Linked DNA regions of Coturnix japonica. The main gene of each other region encodes a partner of the protein of the gene in region 3 in a complex. Links are inferred from orthologs where the notes say so. Each region holds a gene or a part of one and is shown on either strand. Other genes may lie near its edges.

Region 1 (3,572 bases), on a different chromosome or scaffold from region 3:
CCGCTGTCAGGCTGCGTCCCACAGGGCATCCACGGAACTGCGCTGCACTACATCGCTGAATCATGGCGCTGGGAGGGCCCCTGAAACGCCTTGTGGTCCAACACCCTGCAATGAACAGGGACATACGCCAGATGAAGGTGCTTGCAGCCCCGTGCAGTCTGACCTTGAGCGTCTCCAGGGACGCGGCAGCTGTGCTACCTGTGCCACTGCCTCACTGCCATCATTATAAACACTCCTTCCTTAAGTCCAGCCTAAGCAGCCGGAATGCTCCTGAAGCAATCCAGACCTCAGAAAGCACAGAGCAGTGAGCATACTCGCTGGTTACTGGGGTTTTACAGAGCTATTTCTGAGTGCAGAAGGCCAGAACAGTGGCAGGAGCCTGCTGGTGGAAAGAAAAGACAGCCATTACTTACAGCAGTAATGGAAACACACACAGAAAGCAATGTTTTCCCACAGCATCTGCTCAGAGTTTGTATACAGTAACAAAGTTAGCACTGAGGAAAAAACAAGTTAGACTGTTTTATTTTAAACAAACTAAACAATCGGAAACAGTTCAAAGTAGTACAAGCTAATATTCATTCAGACCACTTCCTCACCTGTTTCAGATACTTAAAAATTGGCACTAACTTCTCTGCAAATTTTTCTTGGACACAAAATACTGTATCAAAAACCATTGTAAATGCACAAAGACATTTCAATTAAGGCTTCTACATATGCCACATGTTCTGCAATTAAACATCTATTCTGTAAACTTTAAGATGTTCTAAAATTACACACACACACACATACAAAAAGCAGTTAAATTCCATTGTGATGCTTAATGGAATGAAAACTACCTTGTAAAAGAGGTAATAAGCCATGAAATTGTTTATCTGTGATTTTGAATGGCAATCCTCAAACCTCTTTCATTCATTTAGGTTTATATATTCTGGTGCTCAAAAAAAAGGTACAAACTAGGAAGGCAAGTATGGCTTGAACTACTGATTCCATTAAGTCCAAAAACTTCATCACTGCTCAACCATGTAAGCCAACTATTTTCACAATGAGAGCAAATCTGGTTCCTGGCTGGCACTGCTTCATTTGTGGGATACTTAGAAGGCCAGTTCCTAGGAATAATTTCAGAAATGAAATCAAGCAGTGATGTCCTTCATGTTTATATTGACTGAATGCCTTTGCACGGTTGTGTTTAACCTCTGTACCTTATGAGAGAAGTTATACTTTTTATCACATGCCAAGATGACAGAAGCATGAAATGGCAAATACAATCCATTAATAATCTCATATTCAGGAGCTCAGCAATTCTGTAAACCAAACACACGACACTCAAAGAAACTGTGATGTGCATTTCCTGCTTTGCAAGGAAATTCCTGTGTGGAAACCTATGTGGGAACACTACGTCGTGGCCTGAGCTCCCATCTCCTACAGCAAATCACAAGGACCTCTGATGTAACACTGATGGAGAGTAGCATCCTGAATCTCTTTGTTATAATGTACAATGCAGCACCAGCTGTAATTGAGCTCCACAGTTTTACAAGAACACATACACATCATAACAACCGACTAAAAAGTTAAAGAGTTCCTTCCCACAACCAAGTGGATGCCCTAAAGTAGAACCAGCAGCTATGGAAAATCTTTCAAGTCCAGAATAACTTCTTTTCCCCCTCTCTAGAATTATGTAATTACTTACTTTCTAGAATTACTGAAATTTGTTAAATAAGCACACTAGAACCCTTGACAAGGCAGAAGCTGCCCTAGTTATTCATGTTCCCATTCTTGTTTTAAACCAACTTAGGCAGCAGTACAGAAACTTACTACCTCTTTAACATCTCCCTTTCACTCTTCCATCTGGCTAAACTCTCCATCACTTTTATAACACATTAACCTCCAGGGATCTTTGACACTGCACTCCTGTTAAAACCACCTTCAGATATATTAAATAAAATAATGCAAAACTCAGTACATACTAAATAAAACGTAAAACTAGTCCTGTGTGATACCTGCATGAGAAATGGATTTCAGACTAGCTCTTGCCTATGTCTGCTAAGGAGACTGCAAGACGTCTGCATTTACTTACTTAAACTGCTTTCTTCCTATGATTTGTTTTCATCTCTATGGAATATCTTAGAAAAAGGATATACCTCAACTGCTATCAGTATCAGTAACAAAACATAGATTGATGATGACAATATCGCACTGCTGTCAAAAAAGCACTGAATAGCAGATCTTCAGCACTCACCCATTTCCTCTGGCTGTGTAGGTAGCAATGTTTACAAAAGTGAACATTGACTTTATGTACTAAAGATAATCTCCTTTACAAAACAAAAAGGAGATATATAAAAGATTTCAGACATTTGAATATTTAAAAATTGGCATACATAAAAGACCCATGAAATATATACAATATAAAAATACTTTTTTTTTTTTTTTCCTTTATGAAAGTTATAATACATGGTTAAAATACAGAAAGTGTTGAGCCATCAGTTACAGCTACGAGGTGCATGTTCCGCACTATGGCTGGACCCTGGGTATGATAACTCCCTGGGGAAATTCCTCAATTTCAGTATGAAACATCAGTTCTGAAAGAAAGAGAAAAGGACACTGGTTTTATCGAACAAGTTTCACCTAAATACTATTTCATTATACCAAAAAAGATCTCTGGAATTTCCCCAAGCCTCCTGCTTTTCTTCGTAGCCCTTGTTTCAGTAATGGGAACACTCACCACTGTCTTTAGTAAAACTATAGTTGTTCCCCTAGGTTAACACAACTAGCACTGACATTAGCAGCTGCTTATAGGAAGTAGACTTCAGCCTGGACACTTGAATTTGTATTTTAAAGTAGACTGATGGGTTGTTCCAGTTTTGAATGTGTCAGAACCAAGACTGAAGATTTCCATTTAGAGACCTGATAATTTGCTGTCTGCCAACAATTTGCGGCAAAATTACACAATCTGTATGTGCAGCACTGTTTTTTTTTCCACTCAAGTTGGAAATCACACACTTCTTTTTGTTTTGCCATTCCATTATAATTTCTTTACTACTTGGGATAAATCCAAACAGAAATTTTCTCTTGAAATTGCTAAAGCATATTATGTAATTTTAGTTGACATCTGAAAATATCTAAAATCTCATCAAAACCTGGGCTATATCACACCTCTGTCTTCCTTGAATAAGCCTTTTACTACTTAAGAATGACTTGCAATTATAATTTAGACACCTACTGTAAGTTTTACTTTCAGTAATTGTAAAAGCTGCCAACTAATTATGTGTTTTAAGCTAAATGAGTTATTAGAATTAAGCAGGATAAACTGGTAGCAGCTGAAATATAGAAAGCTGTGAATTAACATTCTAGAGAAATCTGAAGAAGCACATTTAACCTTTGTCCTCCCAGACACAAATCTGTTCCTCATAACATTTCTCAGGACTACACTTGAGCACCCAATGCAGACCGCAGTAGATACAAGTCTGAACAAATAAGGTTTTGCCAGTTAACATTTCCTACCTTCACTGTGGTCCAGCTCTGGTCGGTAAGACAAGAAGATCCAACTTGCCCCAACCAGAATAGATACTACCAGA
Region 2 (3,874 bases), on a different chromosome or scaffold from region 3:
TTCAATGTCATCATCATTTTCCTCATGTTCTTCAATACCTTTGTCTTCCAAGCTGGACTGGTCAACCTCCTCTTCCACAAGTTCAAGGGCACCATCCTTCTGTCGGCAGCGTACCTGGCACTCAGCATCTCCTTCCACATCTGGATCATGGTAGGTTTGAGGCTGCTGGCTTCGCAGCTCCTTTCTCCCTTCTGTCCCTCTGTGCTGTGGGAGGAAGGCCATAATCTCCTACTTGTAGCTATCGGGCTGCCTCATCCCAGCCCCCAGCCTCAGCACTGCAACCTGCTTGAAAACCCACACAGAAAACCTTGCACAGAAACCCACCACAGCAGAGTGGTCCCCAGTGAAGGCCATGACAGCAGATCCTGCTTTGTTTACCTGGGATTAATCCCCAGCAATCACCAGCGCTCAGAGGCTGGAGTGCTGAAACCCTGCTGAAAAACAAGTCCCAAGGGTCCCTGCTGTGTCCAAGCAGCTTTGTACCCCCTCTTCCCCATCTCAGCTCCCCCCATCCTGTGCCACAGTCACCATTTGACAAGCAAAGCAGCCAGCAGGTGCTTCCTGTATGCTTTTCAACAGGAGAAAGGCCCATCCTGCTGCCCCTGGGCCAGGTCTGTGACTGAAGCTGACCCAGGGATGTTGTACCCACAGCGTCTGGGCAGGAGATTGATGGGGATTTGCAGGGATCTAAAGTCTGAAGCTAGAATAGGTCCTGACTCGCTGGCCAAATCCCCTGAGCTGCTTAATCTTTGGAGCTGCCACCAAGAGCACGACAGCCCTTGTGGGGCCAGCTCCGTCCCATCGGGATCATCAGTGATCCCATGGGTTCAGTGAAGCCCATGGGTTCTTCCTTGTTTCCGTCTGTGTCAGAACCTGCGCTGGAGGGATTCCAGCCGCTTCATCTGGACCGAAGGCCTGCAGACACTGTTTGTTTTCCAGCGGCTGGGTAAGGGCTCGTGCTTACTGAGGCAGCAGGAACCTGCCTGGGGGACACCCCAGCTTAGTCCCTGTGCCCTCATCTCCCTCCCTCCTGCAGCGGCCGTGCTCTACTGCTACTTCTACAAGAGGACTGCAGTGCACCTGGGTGACCCGCTCTTCTACCAGGACTCGCTCTGGCTACGCAAGGAGTTTGCTCACTTCCGTGGTTGATGGCCCCCACTGCAGGAGGGGCAGCTCCTCATAGCCAGGGGATGGAAGGTCTCAGCCCCCCCAGCTCCAGCCCAGCTGTGTTCCTCCTCTTCCTGGTGGTGCCCTGGGAGCTGGCAGGGTGCTCACAGCTCACAGCCCCTGGTGGGATTGGGGCGTTTTTGTGAGTAGTGAGGAAATAAATTGTCTGTATTTTCCAGTCCGTGTGTGCTGGCTCTCTCCTCTTTTATCACGCAGCTTCTCGGTGTCCCACTACTCAGGGCTGTTCCCATTGGGTTGCCCCCCCCGGGGGTCCGCAGGCACAGCGAGGGGCGGAATGGGGGATTCGAACCCGCGGCTCGGTCCTCCAGGGCCATAGAGAGGGCGGGATAGAGCGGCCGAGCGCTTTCCCTCCTGCAGCCGCGGTTCCCATGGAGATGGAAGATGGCGGCGCGGAGTGAGTGCGGGGCCGGGAGCGGGGGGCGGCGGGGCCGGGGGCGGAACGTGAGGCGGGCGGCGGGGCCTCGCCCATCCCATCCCATCCCATCCCGCGACCCCCACAGGCCGCCAGCGCTCCTCGGCTCCGCTGCAGGTCCTGCTCTTCCTCAACGGCTGGTACAGCGCGACCTACTTCGTTCTGGAGGCCTTCATCTTCGCCTACAAGGGTGAGCCCCCGCCCTCCCGCTCCTCCGCCCCCCGCCCCCAGCGCTGAGCGTGGCCGTGCCCGCAGTGCTGCTGCTGCCGTACCCGCTCACCAACCTGCTGCTGGACGTGCTGCTGCTGCTGCTCTACCTCAGCATTGAGGCCACGCGCATCTTCTTTGGTGAGGCCTTGTCCCTCTATCCCGCACCCCGTTTCCCGGTGTCACACTGTGTGGTGCAGCCTTGCACTGCTCACCCTGTGCCCCGCAGGTTCCAAGGGCAACCTGTGCCAGCGCAAGGGGCCTCTGGCCGTCTGCCTGGCCCTGACTGTGCCAGCAGCCATCATGGCGATCTACTGCCTGCTGCTGCAGACCTATGCCCTGCGCCTGGAGGCCATCCTCAGTGCCATCCTCCTGCTCTTCTACTCTATGGAGCTGCTGCTGGGCGGCCTGGCGCTCGCCTCCTTCTCTAGGTAGGTGGCGTGGGAGCAGAGGGAGCTCTGGGGGTTCTCCTGTCCAACCCCCTGCTAAAGAAGGTTTGCTAGAGGGCATTACAAAGGAGAGCACCCGGGTGGCCCCACCACCTCTCTGGGCAAGCTCCTTCCAGTGCTCTATTACCCTCAAAGTCAAGAAGTTTTTCCTTGTGTTTCCTATTGTTGGTTCCCTACTGCCCCTTCTTGTTACTACCACCAGGCACCTCTAAAAAGAGCGTGCCCCCACCCTCTTGACCCCTACACTTCAGATCAGATCCCCTCTCAGCCTTGTCTTCTCCAGGCAGAACAGGCTCAGAGCTGTCAGCCTTTCCTTGTAAGGGAAGTGCTCCAAGCTTCAACCATCTCTGCAGCACTCCAGCAGGTTCCTATTTACCCAGAGCCAAGGAAACCAGAACTGGTCCCAGCGCTCCAGATGTGGCAGAGCAGAGAATAAGGAGAACCTCTGTTGCCCTGCTGGCCACACTCTGCACAATGCACCCCATGGTCCTGTTGGGCTTCTTGGCTGTAAGAACACTGCTAGCATATGGACAACCATTGGTCAACCAGGACACCTGTTGGCATTCTTGGCCACAAAGGCTGGTTCATGGCCAACCCATAATCCACCAGGACACCCAAATCCTCTGCAGATCCCCTTTCTGTCAGCTCAGCCCTTAACCTGCACTGATGTATGCAGTTACTCCTCCCCAGGTGTAGGACGCTGCGCCTTGTTGAACCTCATCAAGTTCATCCCCCACCCAAATCTCAGCCTGCCCAGGTCTCACTGAGAAGCAGCACAGCCTTCTGCTGGTTGAGCCTCTCCTCACACATCCTCTCCTCTGTTCTTTGCAGCATGGATGCATACTGAGGCCCTGCACCAGAGGACCACAGCAGCGCAGGTACACGAGATGGCAGCAAGCAGGTGGCACAGGCTCCATCTCCAGCCTGTGGTGGTGAGCCAGACCCACACTGGCACCTGTGGGCAGTGCCAGGGCTGTGCCTGGGTAGCACCCACCCTGCTGCCACCCAGCCCCGAGGTTTGTGACACACAGGTCAGTCCAAGGTACAGACAATTTGTTTTTTTTACAGCGTTGTAAGAAGAAATCACTATTTTCCAATAAATAGTTATTTTTATCTGGTGCCTGGGCACGTGGCATCCCCCCAGGCCAGAGCACCTCATTACCACAGCCAGCCCCTGAGCCAGCATGGGAGGCACAGCAGCCCTTAGGAAGAGCTGGAAGATTGGGGGTGGGGGGGCGTTACAGAAGTGCTTGGCTCTTGCTGCCCATCCACACCTTCATCCCCTGAACATCCCCACCAGAATCTCTTGAAAAGCTCCATATAAAAGACTGACAACGTCATCAAGTTTATTACACAACTTCCAACCTATCAGAAAGACAAACAAACCTAAGTCACTGCGGGCAGAGGGGGGCAGCGCCTCGCCGGGTGCTTAATAGAGGTTCCTCTCTGCACTTTTCCCCCCCACACTAATTGGAAAGAAACTATAAATTTGTGTTGTTACGTAAAAAAAAAAGCCAACAAAAACAGAACTCACCCACCAAATGCTTCCCCCCAGTGCTCACCTGATGGTACTTGATGGAATTCATTGTGTGATTGTAGCCTAACAAAGACCTGTGGA
Region 3 (3,500 bases):
TTAGAAAGAGCACAAACACTGCAGTCATGGAATATTGTGTCTGCTTCTCTGCTCACCAGCATGAGATGTACATTGCTACTTGATACAGTTCAGTACAGGGCCATGAAGACATTAGAGGGACTGGAGCACTCTCCTATAAGGAAAGGCTAAGAGAGCTGGGGCTGCTTAGCCCTGAGGTACTGATGATATGCTATGCAATTTAACTCAAATATTCAGAAAAGCAATTTCTCTCTTACTTACACTTTGTTTATAGGTTGTTCCAAATATGTAAGCTGCATTCAATTTCGTCTGGGTATCAGGACAAAGCTGAACAAAACACAATAATAATTAGGCTAATTCAATCAGGCTATTGTTTTCTGACACTAAACATTCACAGGTACCCCAAGCAGTTTATATATTCAGCAGGCTCACAAAATATACACTGAGTTGTGTTTTATTTTTAAGGATTGGAAGGCAGAAGCAAGACGATTCATCCTGACACAGTAACAAACAAACAGCAGTCACCATCTAAACCCTGAATGTCAACTATTCTTCTGCAGATAATGAAGCATTTAAAGCGAAGTGCACCAAGAGTGACATGAAGAGCTTAGAAAAGAGGATGGATAATTCCTGATTGTTTTTGCCTGTGTTCCTCTTATTGCCTGCCTAGAGAACTGCTGAGAGCGCCCACATCACTGCTGGACTGCTAAATAAATTATACCCTGTAATTTTCCATAGCCTAGAATTTTTGCTGTTTCTCAGAACTTCCAGGTATTTTAAATGGATACTGGCCCAATGGATTATGAGTTGCTGATTTATACTCCTCATTTTGGAGAGATCTTGAGCCTCAATCAAGGCTTATTTTCCCTAATCTAAATATATTTATCTTACAAACTGTCACTGCTGTAGTAATGAAACACTTGGCTTTTGTTTCAAGGCTTTGGTTGAAGGCAATCAGAACACTGCACTATCAAAAAAACAAAAGGCAATTAAATCAAGCCTACCTGCAAGAGGCCTCCTTCCAAACTCTGCCATTTAAGGAAGTTTCCTGCTGCATCATACGAGGCTGCAATAAACTGCAGTTTCACATCCTGATGATTAAAAAAAAAAGAGACAAACAAGAAAACCCTTTAGGAATTATTGTCCCATTGTTCTACATACATCTAAAACTTTCAGCATAATGGTTTATTTTTCCACCTTAGATTTTATACTTTTATTTTAAATATTTTACTTTTTTAATACATAATTGTCTATATACACATACACACACACACACATATATATATATTTTACAGACTCACTTTTTGCTTTTTTTTTTTTTTTTTACCTCAAACTAAAAAGCTTCCAAGAGAACGACTCGGTTTCCCTTTTGTGCACACACATAATTGTAGATATATCAGGCATTTGCTCAACTCAAATTCACAGTCGACACAAATTACCTACAACCTAAAAGCTACAAATCCATACTATTGTTGGACTTCTACCAGATCTATGCTTATTCAACTACTTCCACATTTGGCGCTGATCACACTGAGCTTTCTTGGTGTATGAGACCCTTATGTCAGGCCTGAACCGATGACTGAGCAGCTAGTGAGAGGACATGGCCAGGCCTGAGCGCACAGCTGCAAACAATAAACCTGTGCAACTAGAAAGGGTGGACTCCCTAACCTTGTTTAAAGGCTGGCAGCCTTAAATGACTGTACAAAACACTTATTTAAACTTAGCGAAAAAGAATATGACTCTTACTTTTTGATTACTGCTGAGAGGTCTTTCACCTCCTATATTTATCTCAGTGCTGACAGGTAAAGGTAAACCTAACAGAAGTAACAAACGCTGAGATATTTTGATTGACAGTGACAAAACAGCTCAATTATAACACGACTTTTTCTATTTTGCTGGAAGGGATTTAGTTTATTGCTTCAGCCTCACACTTCCATTTCCTATAGATATATAATAAGTATTTTGTTTTATAGTCCTCTATAGGATGTAGGTATTTCAAGTAAGGGAAAGACATATAACAACTTTCTTAAGATTTACAGAAATTGAAGTAAAGAATATTGGGAGTGAAAGACAATGCATAACTTCCTATTAACTTTGGAGAGGTATAAAAGATCTGTCTAAATACTGGTTTATCACTGCCAATCCAGAAGAATCCTGGAAACTTATTAAGGACTTAATAGCTGGCTTGTTTCCTGTGTGACACACAGTTGGTCCTGGTCAGATCACTTAGGCAAGCTTATCTTTGCATTATTAATGTGAGTGTACGAGTATGAGCAACAGAAATGTGTGTGCAAGTGAGAGTCCGTAAAATAATATTTAACTGGAGATTTTTTTTTAACAGGAATATCATTTTCTTCTTCCATACAAATCTCCCACTGCATTTTATTACACCAGCTGCCTAAAATTCATCTTTAGTGGACTTGAACCTATAACAAATTGAAAACTTTTCATGTGATGATGTCCTCTTTCTAACATCCACTTCTCTGTGCCTGTTCCCTATCACTTACCTCACTTCTTCCTTTAAAACTGAAGATTGTAGGCAGATGGTTTGTCTCAAGCACTTGGGATGCCAATCCTGGTTGATCACCATAATACAGCCATGGCAGATTATGCCTCCTGAAAAAAATTACAGTGTTTTCTCTAAAGAAACACAACATTTTAAATCAAAGAACACTTATAATAATAAACTCCGTAAACACAATTCAAGATGGAACGTAATGGAAAAGGTAACTTACCAGTACACTATTGAATGGACAATGCCTAGCCTTGCTGTATTGGCATAAATATATTGAAACAAACTGCAGGCGTCTGTACTTGAAGAACTCAGTGAGTTCATATTCATCACACACATATTTCCAAGAGCTTGGCAAGCTGTCAGATTAGAGTACAACTGCAGTGGAGAAACACAGGAACACAGAAAAAAGAATCTATGAACTCCTTTTCATGGGATACAAAATTTGTTATCTTTAGTCATTCCTAAATCTCATCTTCACTTGAAAGCGATTTTGTTTTGCCAATGCCTTATATTTTCTTTAAGTTATTCTGGTTCTACACTCTCACAGGTCTCCAAATGGCAGCATGAAATCAATGCTCTCACTTTTTTAGGGAGGTTTTTTGGTTGCATTATCTAGATGGCATGATGAAAAAAAATAAATAAATAAAAAAAAAAAATCTGCATTTGAAAAACATGGTTTTATTATGGCTGCAAGCTAAATAAATATCCTCTTTTCAGCTTAGTACTTATTGTAGTCTGCTGTTTTTAAACCTTGTATTTACACAATTGTTCAGTTTTGGCCAACAAACTGCTGCCACATGATGGGCAGAAGTGATTCCTGGCAGCTGTACAGTCGCCATTGCCCACTGTCTTTGCATGGGGTCAGATCAGCAGCTGCACAAACATTCAGGCAGAACCTTTGAAGAACTCAACAGGCTGAAGGAGGATAAACTTACTTAAGGGGTGAGAACAGAGTCAGTTAGTGAGGCTGAAGGGAATTAGGAGGATACATCTCAGAGTGGTGTGT
Region 4 (4,094 bases), on a different chromosome or scaffold from region 3:
AAACACAAAGCGAGTCTCAATAGAGCACACACTTGTTCTGGAACAGGGGGTACAGAAAGGCACAGATACACCCATACAGCCCTACATTGGTTTAAAAAACCTTTTGGAGGGACACACTCAGTACCTCCCAAAGAAGCAGAAAGAGCAGCTGGAGTTACACTTGGAATTCCCTCAGTTGAAGAGAGAAGCGGCAGATTTGAGAAAGGAGATGGGTTTGCTTCTGGGAAATCAGGATCGCTTCAGGATTTTACTTACTTCCCATAAGGTCCCAAGTCCGCCATGATGTACATCGTCTGAACAGGAGTGTTAATCACGTGATTGTTCTTTATGAACTCTTCCGAGGGCTCCCAGGTGATGATTTTTGACTTGAGAGAACTCCCATCTCTGCCAGTCACAGAACAGCACAACTCACGGTCAGCAGAACTCGCACCAGCAGCCGGGCACAGACCCACCAAACAAGAGTCAAACTGCCAGACCTGAGTCCAGCACAGCTCAAGCCAACAGCTCCCACAGAACAGGCTGCCCTGCAGCACGGACACCACGACACCCACATCAGCCAGTTCTGAGCCTCAGTCTGAACTCACAGCGGTTTACGGTCCTGTCTTCTCCTCCTCACATTGGCCATCCTCTCCGCCAGGTACGAGGGCACCTCACAGTCTGAGTCAGTCACCTTCTGGCCGTGCTGGAACAGAGACACAGAACAGAACTCGCTTCATGACAACAGGACTTTTCTCTCAAATGCAATTCTGCCCCTGGAAGCCAGAATAAGTATTTGTACATGCAAGTATAAGGGATATTTATTCACAGCCATGTGCCAGCTGTGAACTTCACTAACAACACAACCCTGCCGAGCCAAGTGCCTCCATCCCAGCTGCTCCTGCCCGTCGCTCTGCAGTACGGAGCCGTCGTTCTGTAGCACACAGTGCAGAGCAGCGCCGGGCACGCTGCACCACGGCCACAAAACAACGAACGTGCCCCGTGCTGGTCCCGGTGCTGCCGACAGACGGACGCTGCTCTGTGCAGAACCACGGGCCGGTACCTCCTCCATGTTGGTGAACCGGTCGTGATCGGTGTAGGTGAAGATGCGGCGGTTCTTGCGCCCTCCGGCTCTGTCCAGCTTCAGGATCTCCTCGTGGTACTGCCGGTCCAGCGGAGTCTGGCAGGCTGACTCGTGTCGGTACAGATCCACCTCGAACTGAACGTCACGGGCACAGTTAAAAGCCGCGTTGATTCACCACGGCCGGGCCACAGAAGTTCCCGGCCCGGTGAGCGGCGGGGACACGGACACGGAACGGACACGGACCCGGACACGGACATGGACACGGACCCGGACACGGACACGGACACGGACACGGACACGGACACGGAACGGACACGGCGCTGCCCGGCGGCGGTTCGCACCTGGCTGAAGAGCTTCTGCTGCCATCCCAGCTCGGCGCTCTCCTCCTCGGCCGGGGGTCGCCCCGCAGCCCCGTGCCCGGTTCGGGCGCTCAGCCCCAGCCCCTCGGGGCCGCCGCTCGGGGACAGCGCGGCCTGCGGCGGGACGGGCCCGGCGGCCGATACCCGCTGGATGTGGACCCTGCGGGGAAGGACGGAGACATCGTGAGAGCGAGCGCGGACGGAGCCGCAGCCGGGGCCGTGCGTGCCGGGCGCTCACCGCAGCCGCAGGTTGCGCACCGGGTCCCGGGAGCGGTACACGCCGCCGCCCGCCTCCGCGCTCCACAGCGGCGCCGCCATCCCGTCACCAGGGACGCGGGGCGGCGGCAGCGCCCCCTGGCGGCAGCGGGGAGCAGAGCGCGGCCGGGAGCGGAGCCGGGTAACGAGCGGAGCGGAACCGAGTGCGGTACCGGACGGGGGCGATGGGCGGCGGGAAAGGAGAGGGGAGCAGCGGCAGCAGAACGTCTTAACGCAGCCGCCTTAACGAAGCCGAGCAGCGATGTTCTGAACGGGAAAAGAGACGTTATCTCAAGTCCGACCAGTTCAGCCGTGGTGCTCTGAGCTGCTCTGCACGGTCACACACTCTTCAGAAGTTCCCACACGTTTCAATGATGTGCCCGCCTGGCAATGCATGGCCGCATCCAGCCAAACCTCAGCGACCCCCACAGCTTCGTGTTCCTGCGCTGTGACCCCTCAGAGCCGCCCTGAGCCCCCTCCACGTTGTGGGCCCTCGGTTCAGCTCTGCCCGGATACACACAACAACCACGTGCTGAGCGGCCCCGGACTGGGGCAGAACACACAGCAAGTGCTGCTGTGAAACACACGTGACGGTCGCACAGAGGGAGCTGCACCTTTGGCTTAGATTTATACGCTCCATTTAATAAACCGGAAAATAAGAATCATTTTTTGCAATGCACAGAGATGAATCAAAGGCTGCCACAAAGATACCTGTGGGCACGTGGTGTTAATTAACCTCGGTGTGGGCTCTCTCCCATAAGGAAAGGCTGAGGTGGAAACCCAGGGCCCGTGCAGTGCAGTCAGGGTGCCCAGGGCAGCTCCCCCTGCGGCTCTTTGTGTCTGCCCTGAGCTGTGCCCCGACATGGGCTGCACACAGGGCCGCTCCCCCGGCATCGCAGCGGGACTTGTGGCTTTAACACACACCAGACGTTCTGCTACAGGACTGTGGCTGTGTGTGACCACCAGATCCAGGGGCAGCTCACAGGGATGCAGCCCAGAGGAGCCCAGCTGTCCATGGCGGGGCCCTGCAGCCTCCAGCCCAACCAGCCACCAGGGAACAGACCCCGTGCAAAGCAAAGTCCCGGTGCCCGGCCCACACCGTGCTGAGCACCGGGCCCGAGAGCTGGCACCGAGCTCAGGCCTGGAGCAGGAAACTCCAGCCCGGCTCAGCCCGGTGCTGCCCAGCGCCTGCTCTGAGCTCCTGCCCCAGCTGCTGTAGCCCACGCACCTGCAGTCACTGAGCACTGTATTTCAAATAGTTTAATTTTAAAAATATTCTATTCAGTGCTAAAATATCTTTCCACTTCCACGCGCAGCCGCACCTTCAGCTTCGCCAGGCTCGATCACAGACGGCAGGACATGCAGTGGCGGTGGGGGGGGGCCCAGCGGGGTGGGGAGCGTGGGAATGGGGGCATGGGAGGGCTCCATGGGGCTCCTGCACCCTGTGTCCTGTCCAGGGGACGGGATGTACCTGGGGAGCGGGGCGGGCAGGAGGAGCAGGGTGCAGGTCCAGCTGGGACACGGCAGTGCCGGCTGCCCCGCTCCATCCCAGCCCCTGCCTGTCTGGGGCGGACAGAGGCTTCTGTGAGGGCCTGGAGGCAGAGGAGCAGCAGGCAGGGCCGATGTGTCCAGTACCTGCCCTCCGAAATGGCAGCACTCCTCCCTCTTCCAATACTAATGGCTTAGTAGCAGCTTATTGCACAGTGTCCCAGCGGCACGGAGGGCCGTTGTTTCCATTCTCAGGGCGCTCCCCCCCCTCCCTCCTCTGCCCTTTGGACCTACACCAGGAACGCCCCAGACTGTGGTCACAAGGGAGCGGACACATCACTTTCTGCAGGTGGGACATGGCTCTTCTGTTCCCAGCACAGGGGACAGGGCAGACAGTGGATCCAGAAGCAGGCAAACAGCATCTGCCGGTGCGTTAGGGGTGACAGAGAACAGGGCATCCCAAGGATCCCTCCCCCCACGCATGCAGACCACGCACCAGAAACCCCATGCCACTACAGCACAGATCAGCAGGGAGGGTGGGAGCCAATAAATAGAGGCAAATTTGCAGGTACTGGTGGCAGCCCCATTCAGCTGGGCAAATCACTTGCAGGCTGCCTCTGCAGGGGCTGGTGGGAGGCTCCTGCCCCCGAGGGCAGGGCAGGCTGGATGGCGAGGCAGCAGGGGTGCCCTGTCCCTCGGGAAGGGCAGGACAAGGGAAGCACCCCATTCCCCAGGGAAGGGCAGGCAGCTCTGCGAGGGTCTGGCGAAGGCTCTCCCCGGGGATGGGCAGGCTAGCTCTCCGAGGCTGTGTGGCACACAGAGTTCTGATCAGCACAAAATCTCTTCAGAGGCGGTGCGCCAGAGTCCTCCTCCTCTTCAGTTACCTGCAAGAGCCAGAGGTCACCAGCAGTGACAAGAGCTCAGCGTGCCCA
Region 5 (4,006 bases), on a different chromosome or scaffold from region 3:
TATATATATTAAGGAAAACATCACTTTTCAACTCTCAATTTGCCAACAGAAAATTAGATTAAAACTGTTAATTAAGCTTAGTTAGAACCAGGAGCGTGCTTTCAACAGAGAGGATTAAGACTTGGAGCATGAGATAGTTTCACAAACAGAAGTATTACAACATAAGGACCGTGAGTGCACAGAATAATCAGTTTTCTGACAGGTTTAGTTATTGTTAATTTTAGTCTATTTTTGTACCTAGAGAACTTATAAAAAGAGATGTCTAATAAATATTGGCAACAACATTACTTACAGTTTGTAGCATGGATGCAGAAAACACTGGGATTTATGTGGTCAACTAATTTAAAAACTCTTCCTGGTGGATTTGCTTTAGTATCAAGTGAATATATTGCAGCTTTCTGACTACAAAGATGGCTGTCACCTCTGCAAGTAATAACAAAAAAATCAGTGATCCACTAGAAGTTACTGCTGACCATATTTTAAAGTTCTCTTTGCGTGCTGAGGCAGCAAATGGGTAATTAGGCAGAGTTAAAGCAGTCAGTGGCAGGGACTGAGAAAGTAAACAGCTTTTAGAAATGACCTTTTAAGCACGGAGCTGAAGTTAAATGATGAGGTGAAGCACTGGTTAGTAGTATCACAACCCGTATCAAACACCCTTTTTCCTTAGAGTTTGAGGTGCCATATGTAACCTCTCACCTGTGATCAGGCAAAATCCATTCAGCAATTACCACAATTACACAAATGTCCATAAATCCAAATGTAAATAATGAGATCCACAATACTTGCAGGCATTGGAAATTTCATGCAAAAAATGAACGTTTTATAGAAAAGAATTTTTGGGGACAACTACAGCTTCATTTAATGCATTTCTAGTTGACAAAGACAGAACAGTCACCTGAGGCAATTTAACTGTCATTCAGGAAGGCGTTGATTAGACCTTTCTGATATATCTAAATATCTATAAATGGGTAGCAGTAGTCATTATGTGCAAGAACAATAAGAAATGGCAGTCTGGGATGACTGCTAATTCAAATTTCAAAGCACCAAGAATAAACCCCAGCGTTGAGATTGGCATAATTTATGCAGAAGGTGGGTTGAAATGCTGTACTTATTGTTCTGAGAAGCCACCAAGAGGTTTTATATTAAGATAATAAAGTGAGCTTTCATAACTCGTTTTTGAGAGGATGGAATTAGGTAAAGGTGTTTTCAGATAAACTGTAAATAGCAAGGAAGTAACTATCCATGTTACTTCATGCATATAATGTTACATTCTACTGTTTGTAAAGTGACAGATTGGCAGCGAGGCAGCAGGCTGGGACCATTGATTTGTAAAACCAGGATCAGAGCAACACTCACACTATTTCATTAAGCCCTGAATTGATCATGTTTCTAGTTGATACTGTAAACCTCAATTAGAGGTTACTGAGAAGCTACTGCTGGATTATGGAGGTGGCCAGATGGTCGTGTGGCATCAGCTTTCTTAAATTCCAGACACTGCATTATATTGATGAAGGTCTGAAGATACATTCTTCATCCCCCAGCATAAGGCTTCATCAGTTGAGCACCCACACATAGTAGGACAGTACAACAGGAAGAAAAAGGAAGAAGCACAAATTTAGAAAAGAAGGAATGAGAAAGTGGGCCGGGAGGCCAATTTGCTGTTCTGCCTGGTTGGGAGCCAAAACCTGGTGCTGCAGGGATTGGTAAAAAGGTGGGCAGGGGTTAGGATGGCACGGGAAGAGACTGGTTAGGAATTTGTAAGAGGAGAATATAGAACTCATGCAAATACACACACCAAATAAGACAATTTTGTATTTCAGATAGCTGTTTATTCACTTACGTGACAATAGGAACCAAACACGTTGTAAAGAGACTGAAATCTGCTTCACTGCAGTCAGGGTCACAACAGCAATTTACATCACACTGTGCCACCAACAGATCACAAACACACAGCTTGGCAACTGGAGAAAAGATTGAAGTTAGAATTAGGACTGGAACTTTGCACACTACAGCATGTTCCCTAACACTTTCAAGTTTCACCTCGCCTTCTTCTTGACAATGGTCAAAAGTCTATATCCAACTTTATGCTGGTTTTTTGTGTTTTTTCTTTTTTTTCTCCTCCAGGTCATTTTTTGAGAGTTCACAAGTATTTTAGGGGCAAATAACAAAGCCAAGAGCATACCAGAATCTGACACTTTTTTTTTTTTTTTTTTTTTTTTTTTTTTTTTTCCCCTATGAAACTGAAAAAAGCAACTGTTTTTGGGAATTTTCAAGGTATGAAGGTACGAAACTAGGTCCGGAGCAAGAAAAGATACAAACAAGGCAGTGATACTATCTTTATCTATTTGTTACAAGGTAGTGAAATTCTGTTTATCAGTTTGTTTCTTGTATTTGGATGAAAAAAAACCCAAACATCATTTTGGTAAGAGCAGTCATTTACAACGACAAACATTTGTGATTTGTGTCGTGATAGCACTATATATCCACAGAAACAGGATTCCCCTCGGGCCAAGCCCCCCCACCCCACCCGGCACCCACCGTCCGTGAGCGGGGCCGGCCCGCTGCGACCCCGCTCCCAAGCGGCAGCACGGGTCTTCGATGGCGTCTCTGGGCTGGATGGGAGATCAGTGCTGGGCTCGGCTGCACGAAGCGGCGATAAGAAAAGAAGCAGGCCAAGCCTCAGCGCCGCCACCATGACGGACACTGCTAGGCCGCCCCTACAGACAGACTAGGCCTCCCTTAGCAACGGCCTAGGCCTCCCTTAGCAACGGCGCGGTTGCCAGGGAGCGCGGTGTGTGATGGGAAACAGCGCCCCCTGCTGGGCATCATGGGGTTCCACAGAGCGGCACCTCAGTGTGTAGGACGAGATGAATCAATAATGCATGTCCGCCATCAGAGATACATTAATTTATCCATCAACACGAATTAATTAATTAATAATTTGAAAGAGCACTATGTGGGAATGCCTATGAAATGAAAACTCAAGCAGTTTAAAATGCAGTAGGTTGCTGTTGAGGGATTTACTGCATTACTGTGTTACTTTAAGCATCAAGGTTTTGATGTGTTTAAACATTATAGACTGTATTTGTGATCCAAACATTGCGGGATTAAGTCCAATCAAGGGACTGGTTATATACAGAATCAACATGTGTATCTGATGCAATGCTAAAATAAAGCAAAAAAATACTACCTACATTTCGGTTTCTCTCCTTTAAGTATATTTTACTAATTGAGCAGGATTCATTTTCAGTCCTATAACTAACATAGACCATAGCCCCTCTAAAACTGTTGTAAATAGCTGAATTATTGCTACACATGCAAAACTTGCTGTTCTCAGAATAAATGACACCAGAGTTCTCAGAGTCCTGGACCAATCGATATTTATCCTGAATGTACTTAAAACTATTCGGATCGAGGTGAACAAACTGGCAGAGTCACTATGTTCCTCCTCATCGGGGAAGATGTCAGAAATTCTGCTTAAGGACATGTATCCTTCTGATTAAATAGTTTAATTTCATTTTTGGATGTTTAAGATAACTGAGAGTAGGACTGGTTTAATAAACAGGGTCTTCATAAATGACAGTGGATGAGGTGCTCGAGCTGTTTGTTGGCTGCCCTGGGCTGCTCTCTTTGGACACGCCATGCAGATGGTTTGTAATAGACTTGGAAGAGATTTCATCCTGAGGAAGTTTGCAGTAACAAGAAGTACTCGTGGTTGTGAAAGAGCTCCTGTAGGAAGTGGATCCTGGTTAAAATCAGAAGAAAATCCTGTGAGGAAATAATTTTGTACGTGCCTCAGTTTAAGTATGGATGCACTTCAATATGCATATTCTAAACAGATATTCTCAGTCTGATCCATTCAAAACTCTGGCAGAAGTAACAGTCACCGTTAACCTGCAGTAGTTTGTGTTTTACAGAGAAGCTGGGGAACTTGGGTGAGGTTCTAAAAGAACCAGTGGAGAAACGGATTCATGACATACATGAGCTCTCCCAGGGTATCACAGAG
Region 6 (4,290 bases), on a different chromosome or scaffold from region 3:
CCGGTGTGAGTCGGTTGAGCCCGGTGTGAGCTCGGTGTGAGCTCGTGTGAGATGGTTGTGAGCCCGGGTGTGAGCTGGTGTGAGCCCGGTGTGGAGCCCGGTGTGAGCTCGGTGTGTGAGGCCCGTGTGAGCCGTGTGAGCGGTGTGCGCTCGGTGTGAGCCCGTGATGAGCCCGGTGTGAGCTCGGTGTGAGCTCGGTGTGAGCCCGGTGTGAGCTCGGTGTGAGCTCGGTGTGAGCCGGTGTGAGCTCGGTGTGAGCCCGGTGTGAGCTCGGTGTGAGCTCGGTGTGAGCCGGTGTCGAGCTCGGTGTGAGCCCGGTGTGAGCCGGTGTGAGCTTCGCTGTTGAGCCGGTGTGAGAAGGTGTGAGCTCGGTGTGAGCAGTCAGTTGTGAGCTGCGGTGGTGCACGCTCAGTGTGACTCCCGGTGTGAGCTTCGGTGGTGACCCGGTGGTGAGCAGGTGGAGCTAGGTGGTGAGCTCAGTGTGGAGCTCGGTTTGAGCTCGTGTCAGCCCGAGTGTGGAGCCGGTGTGAGCTCGGTGTGAGCCCGGTGTGAGCCCGGTGTGAGCTCGGTGTGAGCCCGGTGCTGCCGGGGGCACAAAACGAGGTCTCACCGCTGCGGGAACCCAGTCCTGGCCGTAGACGAAGCAGAACTTGCAGTAGAGGTCGTCGAACCCAGGGAACTGCAATGGAGAGGCTGTTAACGGGGCCGGGCCCGGCCCACACGGCACAGACCGGAGATGGGTTACGGGACCGAGGACCGAACAAGGCCTCACCTGCCCGCTCTCGATCTGCCCGTTGACGGCCACCATGAAGACGCTGGGGCTGCTGGCGGCCGCCATCTTGCCGGTGGCCGTTGCCATGAGGACGGACGGAGCGGCGGAAGGGACAAACTATGCGGGGAGGGGCCTCGGAGACCCCCCCCCCTCAAATTCGGGCGGCTCTTTCTAAAGAGCACGGGAAATGGCCGCTAGGTGATGCTGCAATGCAAGGAGATCGAGACAGGGCTGTCAGGGGGGAGAAAAGCTTCGGGTCGGGGGTCTCTGAGGCGCCCACCCCTCGTTATGTTGGGTAATTAATGGTGCTTTTCCAGAATCCCTCATTAAACCAACGGGAAGGAATAACTGCAATAATCCCCCCCTGGCTGCTGATTGCACAGAGCAGGCAGGTCCCTGGGGATGCTCACAAAGTCAAGCCAGGCTTCCAGTTTATACAGTTTAATACATGTGAAACAAGATACATTTCCTTTCGAGTAATGAATGCATAAACAACAGAAGATATACGTGGATGCATAAATATGAGGCGGCATGGAACGAACCAAAGGAGAACGGTTGCTTTAGTTCTTTCTGTTGGTTGGTTGATAGTTTTTCCCCTCCCCAATGTGTCTTTTTGCTGCTGGTGTTGCAGTGCTGGGGCTGATGATGCTCATGGTGTCAGTGCTCTGTGGTGAAGCTGATCCGAGCAGAGGGTCTGGCTGAGGAGTGGGGAAGGAGCAGGGAATAGAGGCTACGAATGGAAAATCAACCCCCAAAACTAAATAAATGTATATTAAAATATATTAAAACGGTGTTCACTTGAACTTAAAAGGCTCTGGAATGTGGTGGAGGAACGTCTATGTGGGTGTGGGTTCAGGTTGGATATTAGGAATAATTCCTCCTCTGAGATAGCGCTGATGCTGGCAGTGCTGCCCAGGGATGGGTTCACCACCCTGGGGGTGTTCAGAACAACAGGGGGACGTGGTTTGGTGTCACAGTGGGATGGGGTTGGGTTGGGGATCCGAGGGGCCTTTCCCAGCCTCACTGGAGCTGATTACCACTCTAAGAATGGAAGGGGTTATGGCCACCATTGCGACCTCACAGCCAGGAGGAGAACAGATCCCAGCCTGCTCACATGGACCGCCACCAACAGCTCTTTGCACCTCGACGTACTGCACCAACAACCTACTTCAAACTGCAGGCAACAAAATACATGTCTTAAATAATTCACTATTTATTCTGTGAATCTCTTCAGATTGAAATTTTTCCCTTTTATTGTTTCGCCTCTGTTTGTTGTTTGTTTGTGCAATGTGGGACACCTCGTTTGTGCGCGGTACTTCAGATTATTGCAGCGTTTAACCTGAATTTCTGTTAAAAAAGGAGGAAGAAAAAGAAAACGAGCGAAAGGATCATTGTACAGACGAGAAGAATGAATAACTTATTATTGCACTGGCTACAATTCAGTAGTGATTTGGTTCCTTGCTGTTGGTTAGGACACAACCTCTAAAGTACAAAGGGAAAATGAAAGGGGCGGCGGAAGGAGGAGCTGTGGGCTGATGGTGGCGGTATAGGGGGGAAAGGAGAGCAAAGGAAGAGCAGAAACATTTGGACAATGAAGGGCTGTAAGAATCAGTTCCACATAAAACCCAAAGAAACACCACCCGGTCGCGGAGTCACACGTAATGCAAAAAACCAGTATTGTTTCTCTATAAAAATATGTGCATTATGAAGAAGAAGAAGAAGTTTTTTGTGAGTATTTTTTCTTGTTTTTTTTTTTTTTCTTTTTTTTTCTATTTTTTTTTTCTCTTTTCTCCTCGTTTTGTATCTCACAAGTACATCGTTTCTATGTATATAATTGCTGATATACAGACAACGTACAGCTCCCATTCCCCAGGGCGCTCCCACGGCGTGTGACGTCTCTAAAAGTGCCTTGTAAAAAGTTGAGCATCTTTAAAAACAAAACAACAACAACAAAACAACAACAACAAAAAGAGCCCCCTTACCCCCCACCCCAACGACAAAGAGAACCCTCAGCCCCCATCCGCCTCCACCCGGATCAATGTGACCGAGGGCGCAGAGGACTGAGAGCCACCCCCCCCCCGACCACATCCACTTTGCCCCCTCTGAACCCCCACCCTGAAACCCGGCACCGTTTCATCCGTTTGTTTGGTTTCTTCTTAAATAATAATAATAATAATTAATAATAATAATATTTTTCTTCTTTTTTCTTTTTTTTTTAATGTTTTTTGTTTTTGTTTTTGTTTTTTTGCAAACCTCCACAGCGCTTAAGAAGAAGGGACTGCTTGAAAGGGAAAAACCAGAGTGTGGCCACGCGGCCGCGCAGCCCCTTCGGTGTCCAACCCCATGTCGGTGTCAAGCCCTTGAGACCCCCCGCACCCCCCTCCCAGACAGCTATACGGGCTCGTCGATGTCTTCTTCTGTCGCAACAGTCACCAAGTCCTGCATCCGGACGGGGCTCTTGGCCACGCTGAGCAGCTCTTTGCTTTTCTCACTGTTGCTCCGTTGAGTTTTTAAAGGCTCCGGCTTTCTCAGTTCGCAGTCCGGTGTGGATCGCCCACTGTCCAGCAGATCCGAGAGGCTGCTCAGGGAGCCGCCATCCGACTGCTCGAAGGAGAAGCCGGGGATGGCCAAGTGCTGTGCACGGCGCTCTGCTTTGCAGCCCGGCTCCCCTGGCTGCGCCTCCGCTGGCTCCAGGGGCTCTCGATATGCTGGGAACTCGCAGGATGGGGTCCTGCGGCGCAGCATGCTGTTCTCAGAGGGTTTGGTGCGTGAGGCCGCCCCGCCATCATCCTCCATGGGAGGATCTATAGAAATACAGGGCGGGCTCATCTTCTTCTTCCTCCTGGCTCCATGGATGTACTCGGACTCCGGTTGGATGTGGGCAGGGGAGCGCGGCTTTTCCTCGGTGCGCTCCTCGAAGCCACAGTCCCCATCGCGGACGGAGGGGCAGATCTCGATGGAGTGTCGCCTTTGGTCATCCGCCCAGCTGGGCTTGGTGAGGAAGCCCTTTGTATCAATGCTGTAAAACTTCTTCAAGTCCCTCTCCTTGCCGCTGCCTGCCACCAGGCTGCTTGTGCTGCAATTCTTCAGGGGCACCGGCGATGTGGCCGGCGAGACGAATGGTGATGTGGAGCAGCTCCCAGCCTCCGAGTGCTCCCCCCAGTCTTTGGCTGAGCTGTTAATGTGGCGAACCTCCTCGTCAGCCAAGTCGGAGGGCTCCAGGAGGCAGCCCTGGGGGGTTGGGGGGCTCTCGGTGGGACTGGGGACCCCGCGCTGGCTGCAGGGGTGTTTCTGAGTCAGTGATGGGTGCCGGTGTGGGGAGGTTGGTGGGGAGCGTGGAGGGGAGGCTGGCAGGGAGGAGGCTGCAGGGTGGAGAGGGCTGGGGGTGAGGGTGTGCTGAGGGTGCTTTGGTGATGGTGGCATCTCTCCATGCTCTGCTTGCAGGTTGTCCTTGGGGTCTAGAGTGTGTCCATCCACCGAGTCCTTCCGAACGGCCTCCTGGAATCAGAGAATCAAGA
Region 7 (4,083 bases), on a different chromosome or scaffold from region 3:
TGTCTACCAACTTAGCTGGACTACTGTGGATACACAAAGATCCAATATTCCTCTGATTTAAAGCTTTCAGGCAGGTTTTCAGACATTTTTGTTTTATTTATAGCTAGCACGTGTGGAGAGAAATAAAATGGTCATGTAATGTGCTGTGCAGTTACAGTCTCATTTTGAAGCACAGAGTTGGAAATCCAGTTATTTCTACCTTAAGCATTAAGACAGGGATAGAAACAAAGAAACTAAGCAGCAGAATGTCTTTCTGTTAAAGAAACGCCAAAAGCAGCTCCATCACAAACACTGGACACTTAAGTATTTATACAGATGGTCATTGTAGCTGATACAGACACTTCATAGCTGAACTTCTTTCCTCCTTCCACCCCTTACAGCCCACATTGATATCCTTATGGTACAAGGAAACCCTGACCTGTCCAGGTGTTATAATCCATCAAGTTTTAATGTTCTCTTGCTTGAAACTTGAGCATGTGCTCCTCAACCCACCCTATAGAAAATCAGATGTCTGTTCAGAAAGTGGGCAAAAAATGTGTGCCTTAGCATTAAAAAAATACCCAAAAACCAAAACCAAAACCCATCAGAATGAGCAGAAACAAAGAGTATGTTCCATGATTCCATCTTCACTGAATATTTTAAGCATTTGCACAGACAAGAATGTTAAATGAAAACGCACACAGCTTTATTCCACAGGGCTGTGTCGGGTGCTTTGCCATCTGCTGAAATGTGAGGCTGCCAGATAGCACAGATTCACACCTCAGCTCTGGAAATTGAGTTCCCATGGCAAATCCAGTCACCTCTTGTGGTGTCTGCATTCCAACAGTCTCCCCTTCACCAAATACTTCTCTTTATACTTCGGTGACCGCTAAGCTGGATTTGCTTCACAGTCTCTGAAAGAATCACAGAATCACAGCATCACCAAGGTTGGAACAGACCTAAAAGATCATCCAGTCCAACCGTTCACCTATTACCAATAGCTCCCATTAAACTATGTCCCTCAACACAACATCCAGTCTTTCCTTGAACACCCCCAGGATCGGTGACTCTACCACCTCCCTGGGTAGTTCATTCCAGTGCCTGACCTCCCTTTCTGAGAAGTAATGTCCAGCCTGAATCTCCCTTGCCAAAGCTTGAAACCGTTCCCTCTGGTCCTATCACTAATGACATGAGAGCAGAGGCCAACCCCCAGTTCGCTACAACCTCCCTTCAGGAAGTTATAGAGAGCAACGAGGTCTCCCCTGAGCCTCCCTGTTATGGTTTTGTAATTTGGTTGGTGTTGGTATTCCACAACAGAACACCATGCCTAATAATGGGAGTAAAGGGGACAAGTTTTTTTTCTGTGGACTGCCTTAAATGGGCATGTGGGGAGTGGCACCGGAGGGGAAGTGGGGAAGGGGACGGGGTTGCTGGCCCGGCTCCCTGCGAGGAGACTACGCGGTCGGAGCTTCCCGCCTTCCACAGCTCCATCGGTGAGACTGGGGACGTGGTATTCTCTTTGTTGAAACTCTCTTGTTGTTGTTTAGCGTTATTAGGTATTGAACTGCCATTCATTCTCAGATCACCTTTTTTCTCCTTCATTTTTTGTTAGACCTAATCGCAATCTCCCTTCCCTTCCCCCCTCCCGAAACGCACGTGGCCGGGCCGCGCCGCCGCCGCGCCGTACAGTGCCGCTAGAGAAAGGGGGAACTTTTGTTCCTGCTCCCCTGGGTTTGTTCCCACTGTCCCGGAGTGAGCTCTAGAGAGAACTCCGTGACACTCCCCTTCCTCCCCTGAGCCTCCTATCTTCCAATAGGACTAAAGGGAATGGCTTCAAGCTGCACCAGGGGAGGTTCAGGCTGGACATGAGGAAATATTACTGCTCTGAAAGAGTGGTCAGGCAGTGGGATGGGCTGCCCAGGGAGGTGGTAGAGTCACCAGCCCTGGAGGTGTTCAAGGAACAATTGGACGCTGTGTTGAGGATCATGGTTTAGTGAGAACTATTGGTGATGAGTGGCTGGTTGGACTGGGTGATCTTGTAGGACTTTTCCAACCTTGGTGATGCTGTGATTCTGTGGTTCTGAGTCTGGCAGGAAATACATTCCTAGCACCTACTGGAAACTGGCAAGACAACCAATATAGATTGCACCTGTTAATGCTCAGAAGCCTAACCAACAATAATGTTGATTTTCATAATGTTTTCTGGTACATAAAAGCAATTTTTAAGCTCTTCAATTATTTACCAGGTAGTTAGCTAATGAGCCGGCATCCACTCCCAGATTTTTATCATTGAAACCATGGTACACCTCCAGTGCCCTAACAGCTCAGAGGTCCACATCCAGCCAGAACACAACCACAGTATGTATCCCTGTGACTGCAGCTCATATTGCTTTACTCACCCTACTTTTCAGATAGCTCTGGTAGCATCACTGAGCTGTGCTCACTGCTCCGCAGGCTGATCTTGTACCCTCTTCCGTGTGGCGCAACAGAAACTGCAAAGAGTGTTTCTCAAGACTAAACCTCACCTGTTTAATCTGCAAAATAGGAATAAGCCTCACCTGCAACTTAAGATTTATGTTACTAAGTGCGCTCACGCAGTAAAGCTTGCTGCCTGCCCTGCCTGTAATGGGACACTCTTCTTCCTCATCCCTTCTGGTCTCCAGTTTGGTTTGCTTTGATTTTTGGGTCAGTTGGTTGGTTTTCATTTGGGGGAATGATGTGCAGAATCAAACTCTATAGCCAGAACTAGGTTATAAAGCAGGTATGTGTTTATTCAGCGCTGGGCACATGGGGGATCACTCCTCCTATCATGTGCATTGATAGACAGGAGCGTTAGAAAGTTGTAGAGCAAGTATATACATATGAAACAGATTTCCAAGGAATCATTAGCATATTCATCGTTTTAGGGGAACTCATTTACATGCTGTCCCTCCTACTGACTTGTGAGCAGTCCGTATTGGGGTCTCACTCTGCTGGTCGTTGGGATGAAGTCAGAAGTCTTCCTCAGGTCGACCCTCCTTCTTTGACCCAGCTCCTCCACTCAACCCTTAGAAAAAGATCCTTCATCTCCATGTGAAATCTCTCTTACTGACCCGACTCCTGCTTTCAGGGAATGCTCGCTGTCGATTCCTGCAGCCGCATTTGACTGCAAAACTGGTTGGGATCTCCCTATATGCGCACACATCAGTCCCTATTATCAGCGCAGGGCACGAGCTGCTCCCCATCCCGGCGTTGCGAAGCGTTCCGTCCCTCAGGGATCCCTTCCTCCTCCCCGGAACAAACCGCTCCGTGCCTCGCCTCGCCCCAGCCCGGACCTTCTGCCGGAGCCCCACGGCGCCTGCGCTTCCCCGCCCCAGCCCGGCGGCATGTCGCTGCCCGAGCCTCTGCGGCGCCGCCTGGGCTCCTTCAGCCGCTCCATGTTCACCGACGGCCGCCGCTCCGGCCCGCACAGCCGCAGCGAGCGCGCAGGTAAGAGCGGCCGCCAGTCAGCGACAAACATGGCGGCGGGGCAGGTGGGGCGGGGGGAGCCGAGCCCTTCCACCAAGCAAGATGGCGGCGGAGACCGGCACCGGGCGGCCGTGAGGATGGAGTGCGCTGTGCTTCATAAAGCTCTAAGGCCCATCCCTGAGGACACGATCCGTATCCGTGAGGAGTGAGAGGTTTTCCTTTGTCCTGTTGCCAGGGAAACCTGCAAACATCCCACAGTTTTATCCCTTTGCAGTGACAGGAGCCACGGAAATAAACTGTGTGCACAGGCAGGTTGCGTTCATGGAGGTGAACATGAATTTCCACCAATAAATCCATCCCAAGTTGATGAAACTCCTTTCAAGGCAGGAGCACTCATTAACTTTATGTACTTACAGCAGCATAGCTATACTGCTGGCTTACATGTCATTCCACGTATCAAACAACACTGAAACATTCTCTTCTTGGCTGTCAGAACAGCTTCTCTCTCAGTCAAGTCAGTTTTCAGTCATGAAAGCTCTTATGAGGAGCTCTTATGAGGAGCTCCAGCTGATTGAAAGCAGCAGCAAATGTATCATGGATTTCAGTGAGGTCAGGCTTTCCAGCCTAAAGTTCACCCACACATACTGTAGGGAGTTG

Evidence for each region.
Region 1: TMEM67 (region 3) and TMEM237 share a complex: the UniProt entries of both Homo sapiens proteins name them as parts of the tectonic-like complex. The link is inferred for Coturnix japonica from reciprocal best matches to the Homo sapiens genes TMEM67 and TMEM237.
Region 2: TMEM67 (region 3) and TMEM216 share a complex: the UniProt entries of both Homo sapiens proteins name them as parts of the tectonic-like complex. The link is inferred for Coturnix japonica from reciprocal best matches to the Homo sapiens genes TMEM67 and TMEM216.
Region 4: TMEM67 (region 3) and MKS1 share a complex: the UniProt entries of both Homo sapiens proteins name them as parts of the tectonic-like complex. The link is inferred for Coturnix japonica from reciprocal best matches to the Homo sapiens genes TMEM67 and MKS1.
Region 5: TMEM67 (region 3) and TCTN1 share a complex: the UniProt entries of both Homo sapiens proteins name them as parts of the tectonic-like complex. The link is inferred for Coturnix japonica from reciprocal best matches to the Homo sapiens genes TMEM67 and TCTN1.
Region 6: TMEM67 (region 3) and B9D1 share a complex: the UniProt entries of both Homo sapiens proteins name them as parts of the tectonic-like complex. The link is inferred for Coturnix japonica from reciprocal best matches to the Homo sapiens genes TMEM67 and B9D1.
Region 7: TMEM67 (region 3) and TMEM17 share a complex: the UniProt entries of both Homo sapiens proteins name them as parts of the tectonic-like complex. The link is inferred for Coturnix japonica from reciprocal best matches to the Homo sapiens genes TMEM67 and TMEM17.

The regions. Positions count from the first base shown.
Region 1 is NC_029522.1:9,988,128-9,991,699, forward strand, and holds the end of TMEM237 (transmembrane protein 237), read right to left. Parts: coding exon 3,499-3,572; intron 2,577-3,498; coding exon 2,509-2,576; 3' UTR 501-2,508; downstream 1-500. UniProt on the Homo sapiens protein: Component of the transition zone in primary cilia. Required for ciliogenesis.
Region 2 is NC_029520.1:292,621-296,494, forward strand, and holds TMEM216 (transmembrane protein 216), read left to right. Parts: upstream 1-1,456; 5' UTR 1,457-1,569; coding exon 1,570-1,582; intron 1,583-1,688; coding exon 1,689-1,790; intron 1,791-1,855; coding exon 1,856-1,948; intron 1,949-2,036; coding exon 2,037-2,238; intron 2,239-3,087; coding exon 3,088-3,103; 3' UTR 3,104-3,374; downstream 3,375-3,874. Other genes in the region: TMEM138 (transmembrane protein 138), read left to right, coding at 1-150, 871-946, 1,037-1,149. UniProt on the Homo sapiens protein: Part of the tectonic-like complex which is required for tissue-specific ciliogenesis and may regulate ciliary membrane composition.
Region 3 is NC_029517.1:114,030,023-114,033,522, reverse strand, and holds part of TMEM67 (meckelin), read right to left. Parts: intron 2,870-3,500; coding exon 2,715-2,869; intron 2,596-2,714; coding exon 2,487-2,595; intron 1,071-2,486; coding exon 984-1,070; intron 307-983; coding exon 241-306; intron 1-240. UniProt on the Homo sapiens protein: Required for ciliary structure and function. Part of the tectonic-like complex which is required for tissue-specific ciliogenesis and may regulate ciliary membrane composition.
Region 4 is NC_029534.1:119,462-123,555, forward strand, and holds the start of MKS1 (Meckel syndrome type 1 protein), read right to left. Parts: upstream 2,801-4,094; 5' UTR 1,738-2,800; coding exon 1,658-1,737; intron 1,580-1,657; coding exon 1,402-1,579; intron 1,196-1,401; coding exon 1,040-1,195; intron 683-1,039; coding exon 585-682; intron 385-584; coding exon 256-384; intron 1-255. Other genes in the region: BCL7B (B-cell CLL/lymphoma 7 protein family member B), read right to left, coding at 3,954-4,046. UniProt on the Homo sapiens protein: Component of the tectonic-like complex, a complex localized at the transition zone of primary cilia and acting as a barrier that prevents diffusion of transmembrane proteins between the cilia and plasma membranes.
Region 5 is NC_029530.1:5,160,147-5,164,152, reverse strand, and holds the start of TCTN1 (tectonic-1), read right to left. Parts: upstream 2,801-4,006; 5' UTR 2,696-2,800; coding exon 2,539-2,695; intron 1,962-2,538; coding exon 1,841-1,961; intron 424-1,840; coding exon 293-423; intron 1-292. UniProt on the Homo sapiens protein: Component of the tectonic-like complex, a complex localized at the transition zone of primary cilia and acting as a barrier that prevents diffusion of transmembrane proteins between the cilia and plasma membranes.
Region 6 is NC_029529.1:5,249,675-5,253,964, forward strand, and holds the start of B9D1 (B9 domain-containing protein 1), read right to left. Parts: upstream 2,801-4,290; 5' UTR 860-2,800; coding exon 773-859; intron 680-772; coding exon 611-679; intron 1-610. Other genes in the region: CACNA1H (voltage-dependent T-type calcium channel subunit alpha-1H), read right to left, coding at 3,164-4,270. UniProt on the Homo sapiens protein: Component of the tectonic-like complex, a complex localized at the transition zone of primary cilia and acting as a barrier that prevents diffusion of transmembrane proteins between the cilia and plasma membranes.
Region 7 is NC_029518.1:2,315,324-2,319,406, forward strand, and holds the start of TMEM17 (transmembrane protein 17), read left to right. Parts: upstream 1-1,283; 5' UTR 1,284-1,312; coding exon 1,313-1,472; intron 1,473-3,028; exon of another isoform or gene 3,029-3,344; coding exon of another isoform or gene 3,345-3,447; intron 3,448-4,083. UniProt on the Homo sapiens protein: Transmembrane component of the tectonic-like complex, a complex localized at the transition zone of primary cilia and acting as a barrier that prevents diffusion of transmembrane proteins between the cilia and plasma membranes.